Linked DNA regions of Daphnia pulex. The protein of the gene in region 1 purifies or fractionates together with the protein of each later gene. This does not show direct contact. Links are inferred from orthologs where the notes say so. Each region holds a gene or a part of one and is shown in the gene's direction. Other genes may lie near its edges.

Region 1 (4,371 bases):
GCCATTTTCTCTTTATTCTGCAAGCTTTGTTTGGCCTTGAATACAAAATTTCAATCACGTTTTTTTTTTTTAAATATTCATAAAACACGTACTGTACGGAAAATGTCATTCCAATGGGGAAAAACAAATACTAACCTTCGGATTGAAGCGACAAGCGATGCGTTGTTGTCGAGTTCGAGAATCAAAAGCTACTGAACAAAAGAAGCTTTGTGTAGCTCGGTTTTAAAAAGCCTCGAAATGTCAGACTGACTACCGGAGTTCACTGTTCTGTTCTGCAACTGGTTTCTGGCTACTGCACCCATTGCCACAGGCCAGGCCTCTTTCTCTCTTCCTCCCCTTTTCGTAAACAAAATAATAACACTACGCACTGCAGCCAATCAGCAAGTCGGAATTTCTCTGGGTTGATAACAGAAATGAGGATATCCCGCCAGAGATTAATTTAGTAAGTTCACCCTCCTATTCCTTATTAAGCGACTTTCGTTGTGGCTTCGTCCAAATTTAATTTCAAAGAAACAATACTTCAATCAAATTAAAAACGGCCAGAACAAAACAAATTGTCTTTTGGCAGTGGACTGTGCGACATCTCGGAGGTCTTAGTATAAATGTTTTATTTGTCTCTCTCGCAAACATTTCGTAATAACTAATAAATGGGAAATTTTCTAAGTTTCCCGTGTATATTTGGAGAGTATGGAGACCCATATTTGGTGAGTCATCACGCCGATGGCTTTTTCACTCGTTCTGTTTGGTTTCACTTTACGTGGAATTACCCATAAAAAAAATGTCCGTGACGCATGTCGGCATGCGGAAAGTATGTCGGACGTGACTGTTTGATGTGAAAAATGCACAATGATCGAATTCAACGCATTGTAGTAAAACATTTAATGAATAAAAAGAACTGGATTTATTAATTCTTGCGCATTGGTTTTACACGACGAGTAACTAACATGCAGAATTCGAAAAGATTAACAGCGTCGTAAATTTTATTCCAGAAAATATATTTTCTACGGTGTACAAAAATTTGTGATATCACGTTGAAGGTTCGCGGGGTATCGAAGGATAATTAATTCACGCATGGCATATCTGAATCAAGCATACAATAACAAGGCGGCTCGTTGGGAGATTGCCCTTTCATGCAGTGATAACCTGTTCCGCAACTCGGTGAGCACGCTTCCGGTGGGCACAAAAATTTTGCTATTCAAATTGATAAGAATACAGTTAAGAAGAAAACAATGAACAAGTAGGAACTTGCCTGCAATTGGTGTATGTCGACAAAGGGATTTTTGACTGGTAGTCTCCACAGCAATGGCGCTGGCCATTGCAGTCCATATAGAAGTCGCCAAAAGCAAAATCATGCTTGTCATCACTGAGATCTTCATTTTGATCTGTAAGGTTTTCAAATAAAGATTGATAGAGAAAAGTGTGCTGCAAAGAGCCTTTATATGCATCGCAGATGCACACTAAAGTCGGTCGTTCTCGGTCGTTGACTCCGAAATATATAAAAAAAATATGCCAAAAAAATATTGTGTCTTAGCAAATATGCAGGTATTCATCTCTTTATGTGACCGATGTGACCGTTATTCTTGGATTTAAGGTAGGCTAAAGATGTGGTTGGTGTCGGTCTTTTCCTTAGCAAGTTTTGAGACAAGATATTTTTTTTTTCTAGCCAAGGGTGAAAGGCAGGCGCAAAAACATGTCGTAAACTGCCAAAGTTTCCATGGGGAGAAAGTGAATCCCTAAGGAATATTATTTTCAAGAATTTCAAATTTACCGATGTTAACTGACAGCTGTTAATCCCAATGGAATGGGGTGGGACACTAAGCTAAGGATTATTCTACATTTATAGCTCATTTTTAACTTATACCTGCAACCTGCATCTATCCAAATCGAAGGGATGACAACAAGACCACTTTTTCGTCTTTTCAAAGGGAAATCCATTTTTGTTAAATGTCAACGTCTAACTTTCGTAAGGTCGTCTGCTGCCGTACTCGGATCCTTCTCTTGCTGTCTTGCATATCGCGAGGAACAGGCAAAAGGACTCGTGTTTAAATCGCAAAATAAAATTCGTTTGATAAAATGTTGAAAGTAAGTTAAATAACATTGCATTTGTATATGGAATGGAAAATTAAATGCTGTAAAGTAAATATTAAAACAATTTTTTTTCAAATTATGTCAAGAACCCTATATAGTTTTGAGTTTCTGATGTGTATTTATATTACATGTCCGGTTTTCGTTATATGTTTCCCTTTATCGTCACAGAAGACAAATATGGATTTGGAGTAATTGAAACACTTGATTTTAATAGGGAGCTGTTGCCTTGGTGACTGGTGGAGCTTCTGGCTTGGGCCGGGCAACTGTTGAGGTATATCAGAACTGGTTTTCTTGTGAATTTACTATCCAGCCTTGATGTATAATTGTATCATTTGATAGAGAATTGTCCGACAAGGTGGAAGGGTAGTCTTATGTGATCTACCAACTTCTAAAGGACAACAAGTAGCTGCTGGCATGTCAGAAAATGTTATATTTGCCCCAACAGATGTAAAGATAATGTTTAAGAAGTAAAACATAATGTTCAACTAATAACATGTGATGTTCCTAATAGGTTTCTTCTGAGAAAGATGTAATGAATGCTCTTTCCATGTCAAAAGAAAAATTTGGAAAACTTGATGTTGCAGTAAACTGTGCAGGTAATTTTCATTAAATTTAAAAGAATTTCTGTTTGAATAAAAGTTTAATAGCTTGTTTATTTATTAAGGAATTGGAGTTGCTTTCAAAACATACAATTTTAACAAAAATCTTCCACACAAACTAGAAGACTTCATTAAAGTTTTGATGGTAAACACCGTGGGAACTTTCAATGTTATTCGCCTTTCGGCAGGATTAATGGGCGAAAATCAGCCCAACGAAGACGGTCAAAGAGGAGTGATAGTCAATACTGCATCTGTAGCTGCTTACGATGGTCAGATGGGTCAAGCCGCCTATTCTGCAAGCAAAGGAGCAATTGTTGGAATGACTCTACCGATTGCGAGAGATCTGTCGTCCCAGGTAATTTAATAAAACTAATTAACTGGAGGTGTAGAGATAAAATGGCTCAAGTTAAAACTGGTTACAATGTTAACTAATTATTATCATTTCTAGGGTATCAGGGTTTGTACCATTGCACCAGGATTGTTTAAAACTCCTTTGCTCGAGTCTTTACCTGAAAAAGTGCAGTCATATTTGGCAAAGACCGTACCATTTCCGCAACGTCTGGGTAAGCCAGATGAGTATGCAATGATGGTTGAATCAATTATACTCAACCCAATGATGAACGGAGAAGTGGTTCGTGTTGATGGCGCTATCCGCATGCAACCGTAAAAAAATCCAATCATTTAAAAACTAAACCAGAGTAAACAGTAATAAGTTATTGTTGTAATTTGCAATGTTCAATGGCTTATTCTTTAGTAAAGAGCTTTCGTGAGATAATACAAATCTTTATATTATTATTTTGTATTGAACGAACTTTTTTCGTGAATTGCTTCCAACTTTTGGAACTTTGTTGAGACATTTTTTTTTTATATGGTCACTTCAGTTTTCTAATTTAATTTAATGTTTAATCGGGTTTGGAGATATTCTACCAGAGAGGACGATTGGAGAAACGATACTTAACTGCTTGGGAATACAACTGTATAAATTAAAAATATGCAACCTGCTGCAGCGATAAAATTGATAAAAATCCTGACTTCTAAGGAGGGACAATAGCATTTACTGGTAGAGGAAAAATGGCGCCTCTGACTGGACAAAAAGATCACAAGATAATGAAAAGGGACTAAGGAACACTTAACGTGCGCTGGGCATGGCCGCTGACCCGCTGCGGCTGCCCGTTTGGACAGCGTGTCAGCTCAGCACCGCATGCGGACTTGCGGTACACGTAGTTACAACACAATATAGTAATATTATATGTATTACAATAACATGAATATATATATATTAAGTTATTAACATATAATATTATTCGCACGCGTTAATAACTTGCGGACTAACAAGATGTAGCATGTAGTAGCATGTAGTAGGGCAACTTCAAATTGTTCGTTTACGACTTTTGCAAGATTTAGCGTCGTCTGCACTGAAATATTGTGCCGTCCGCGAACTCCACGTGTGTAAAACGTCTATAGTACCAAGTGAACGGTTACATTTTCTTTTACTATATTAAGTAATTAACAGTAGTAAATAGTGGGATGGCAGGAGGTGAACAGGCTTCACATCGACCCGGTCTTCTAAAACAGCAAAATAAATCTCATAAAAATGGGAGACATCGCAGCAAAAGTGAAATTGACAAGAACAACAAAGGTAAGCAAATATTTGTATTTTATTTTACTGGCGTCATTTTCAAAC
Region 2 (3,665 bases), on another chromosome or scaffold:
TGTTCTGCACTTGATCGCACCATTTGCTGTCTATGAGCCCAAGGCAACGTGACATAAATCTTCGTCCAACCGCAAGTCAAGCAACAAACTGGCACTTCTCTCGAAACGCCAACCCTTTCCTAAAAGCAGAAAGCATTTATAAAAAGCCATTACCATGATTACTGATGAGGATTCCCTTCCTGGAGTAACTTACCAGTTGAATTTTAAGAGGCATTGGCATTAGATTTTAAAAAAAGTAGATGAGAAATGTCATTGTAAACCTCTTTACTGCTTCAATAGAGGTAAATGCATTTCCTCGTGACTAAAGTCCTGACTGTATCACACGACGCAAACAGTCTGAGTCTACTGAGAATAAGAGAAAAAAATACAAGAACTTATTCTACAGAGAAAATAGAAAGGTTTAGTACTTGACCTGAAAAGCTCAGCGATAAGGTGACAAACCTTGAAGAGTAAATGAAGAGGACTCATGCTCAATATGGTTCAAATAGAAAGAGCAGCAACAACTGAAACAAAAATTAAGTTGAATGATATAACTTTGAAATAAATGTTCCATCATCCTCAATGTCAAGTGGTGTTTATACTTACAGCTTATCACTCTTGATTAGCCACACAAGGGGTGGTAGCACAGGCAATCCAAAATTCACTGAGGGAGAAAAAAATTTAGAAAGATAACTGTAAAGTCAGGGCAAGAGATTCGAGCAACAATTATCCTATCAAAATGCACCTTTTGCTAAGTATTCACTACTTATTTAATTTGCAAATAATTTTAACCCAGAGTCAAGACCACGCGGTTTTTTTCTTTACCTGTGGATCATTGTCATGCAAATATGCAACATTCGTCTGCTCCTTTCTCCTGTTGCCAGATTTAAAAAAACAATTTTGTGGAACTTTTTTTAGCCCTTCCCCTGGCGGGCGGCAGCCGGCAGGGGCCAAATTACCGAGATATTATTGAGATAGAGATAGATCGTCTTCCCCCCCCCCCTATAAATCCTATTTTTTGTGGGAAAAAATCATTAACAGCCCTTCGGGTACCTTGCTTTTGCTAAACGCATGCGCAGGTAGCTAACTCACTCTGTGAAGTTTCAATGAGTTTTTAATAGTTGATTCACCGACTACCAGAGGTCTAGAGCCCTTTGTAGTTCTTTGATTCTCTTGTAAGATGGCGCAGTGATCGAAGTATCCCGTTAATTATCTATCAACATGTTGTCTGCTATAGCAAAACAGTAAAACACATGTGACATTTTACATTTTCGGTCAGTGAGAACAGAAAATGTTTCTATCGAATTTCGTCAAGTCAGTTTATCGTTTTCAGCAAGCTAGTCGTCAGATTTTGCCTTTCGCTTTAAACCCAAACATAAGTCATCGATTCCCATGTCGGGAATTTTGTGCCCAAGAAAAGTCATCGAATGCCAAACAAGCAGAAGCAGTGTGCGAGCCAAAAAGAAGATATGTGACTTTGACAGAAGAGGTTATTAGTTCGTTAACCAAAGGCGATACGGAACTGATAAAACGACTCAAGATGGCTGAATTTGAATACGAAATATCCAAGCAAGAAGGAACAAGAGCTCCTCCTGGATTGACAATCAATGATTGGCAGGAATTGCTGGAGCTAGAATCAACAAGCAAACGGAAGAAATTTTTAGCATTTCTTTTCAAAAGGGAAATGACGAAACTGAGCCAAAAAAACTCAAAAATAGAACAACAACAAATAAGGGAAGCAAAGTGGCAAGCAGAGAAGGAAGCAATTAAATTAAATCCCCCCACTGAAGAGCATATTAAATATGGACTGGGCCACAACACTATTTTTTTGAAAGTTTACGATACCAAGATGGATCACTACGAAAATAACAGGATGATAAGGGCTGAAAGGTTTGAATTACCTGTGGTCTTTGATCACAGTTATGAACAACACATGACCCAACAGGAGTTGAAGAATGCTGCCAAACAACTAGCACTGTCTTTTATTACAAACAGGGAGCACGAAAATCCATTCCCTTTCCAGTATTGCAATGTCAACTTCAATGGACCCGTGATGAAGCATTTTCTCAAATGGATGCCACATCTGTATAGCCCTGAATTTCCAATCAATCTTAGCTCCAAAAGCTATCTTGACTTGTTTCCAAGAGAAAAGCTCGTCTATCTGACACCTCACTGCAAAACAGAAATGACCCATTTTGATTTTGACAGTGTCTACATCATCGGAACAATGGTTGACAGGAGTGACAGCAAGCCACATTCGTTAGCATTTGCTAAACGAGATAACATCCGAATGGCCAAGTTACCTCTGGATCGATATTTGCGTTTTGGTGGTGGCAGTGGCAAGTGTCTGGCGTTGAACCACATGATTTCCATCCTACTGGAAGTTAAAACCCACGGAGACTGGAATAGAGCCCTTGAGGTCGTTCCAAAACGTAAACTTATGGATCCATATTCAGGAAATGAATCACATCTAAGAACGGTATTCCTTTTTAAAAATATATGTCAATGCCAGAATTAATTTAATTTATTCCCCATTCTAATCTAGAAATACCCAAAGTCAAATGCCGAGATAAGGGGACGAGTGAGAGAAGAATTGGACGAATTATTATTTTCTAACGTCCCCCGTAAAACCAGCAGGTCTAATTCAAAGTCTATCGAAAAGCAGCCGATAAGCAAGTACCTTTTTGATTAGTCGTGATGAAATCCTATTAATAAACAGTAAATATTTTCCAAATTTCGTTTGCTTGTGAGGAATAAGTTGGAATAGATCGTGGTAGTTGTGTATATTTTCTCCAACTCTCAGAGTCGACATATGGCTTTTCTTGGAGAGTGTAGTAGTCCACTCTCTGACAAGTCAAAACACGGTTTCCATCATCATCATCATCATTCACTTTTATATAGTCAAATAGAAAAGGGGATGGGGACCATTCAACACCAATAAATTAAATTGAAAAATTAAGGGAAATCGTGAAAAAAGAAGAGGTGGACCATTGGATTATTTTCCCCGGTCAACACGATCAATAGACCGAAAACAAAGAAGATGGGGGGTTACGGTCGGACACACACACAAGGACGCACCACACACACACACACATACACACAAAAGGCAAAAGAAATATATATAAATACTACAATGGTAAATCCACATCACAGCGACAGCTTATTTTTCTGTTATCTTTCTGTAGGATAAAGATGAAGGGGGGAAATGTTTTTTTTTTCGAGAATAGTAAGAATATTATAAATAATAAAGTCGTGTGTTTTGATGTTTTCCACTTTTTCTTTTCAAAGGGCTTTTTACCTAAGTATGGAGTATGGAGCTGCCCAGAGTATTTGTCAATACGTAGTATCGAAAACACCAAAGGCACGAGAAAACATGTAATACATTCAAGAAAGAGCGGGAGGGTGGAAATTAAGAAGAGTTTCACATCTTATTAATTAATTAATTAATTTTTTTTTTTTTGCATTTTGTAATTTTTTTTAATTTTAATAAGAAAAAAAAAATGGGTGACCCTGTATATTATGATCGTTCTTTCTTCTTTTCTGCTTGTCTTCTTCTGGAAGCCCCGTGAAATGAACTAAATAGTGGGGTGGGAGGGGGGGTTGGTAATCGTTGGCTTTTCGCCCATCCGTCAATCCCAAGGTAATAAATCAAGAGAAAAAGTTAAGGGGGAAAAAGAGAGATCAGA

What was found. Proteins that work in one complex are often made in the same cells at the same time.
Region 2: the proteins of 3-hydroxyacyl-CoA dehydrogenase type-2-like (region 1) and mitochondrial ribonuclease P protein 1 homolog purify together in Homo sapiens (co-immunoprecipitation; 3 studies listed by BioGRID and IntAct, counting the BioPlex papers as one, with this or other methods). This does not show direct contact. The link is inferred for Daphnia pulex from reciprocal best matches to the Homo sapiens genes HSD17B10 and TRMT10C.

Annotation. Positions count from the first base shown.
Region 1 is NC_060018.1:6,280,534-6,284,904, reverse strand, and holds 3-hydroxyacyl-CoA dehydrogenase type-2-like, read left to right. Parts: upstream 1-1,935; 5' UTR 1,936-2,073; coding exon 2,074-2,082; intron 2,083-2,302; coding exon 2,303-2,359; intron 2,360-2,427; coding exon 2,428-2,535; intron 2,536-2,599; coding exon 2,600-2,684; intron 2,685-2,752; coding exon 2,753-3,042; intron 3,043-3,135; coding exon 3,136-3,354; 3' UTR 3,355-3,482; downstream 3,483-4,371. Other genes in the region: apolipoprotein D-like, read right to left, coding at 1-5; pre-rRNA-processing protein TSR1 homolog, read left to right, coding at 4,215-4,326. UniProt on the Homo sapiens protein: Mitochondrial dehydrogenase involved in pathways of fatty acid, branched-chain amino acid and steroid metabolism. Acts as (S)-3-hydroxyacyl-CoA dehydrogenase in mitochondrial fatty acid beta-oxidation, a major degradation pathway of fatty acids.
Region 2 is NC_060023.1:12,059,891-12,063,555, reverse strand, and holds mitochondrial ribonuclease P protein 1 homolog, read left to right. Parts: upstream 1-1,178; 5' UTR 1,179-1,270; coding exon 1,271-2,458; intron 2,459-2,524; coding exon 2,525-2,671; 3' UTR 2,672-2,686; downstream 2,687-3,665. UniProt on the Homo sapiens protein: Mitochondrial tRNA N(1)-methyltransferase involved in mitochondrial tRNA maturation. Component of mitochondrial ribonuclease P, a complex composed of TRMT10C/MRPP1, HSD17B10/MRPP2 and PRORP/MRPP3, which cleaves tRNA molecules in their 5'-ends.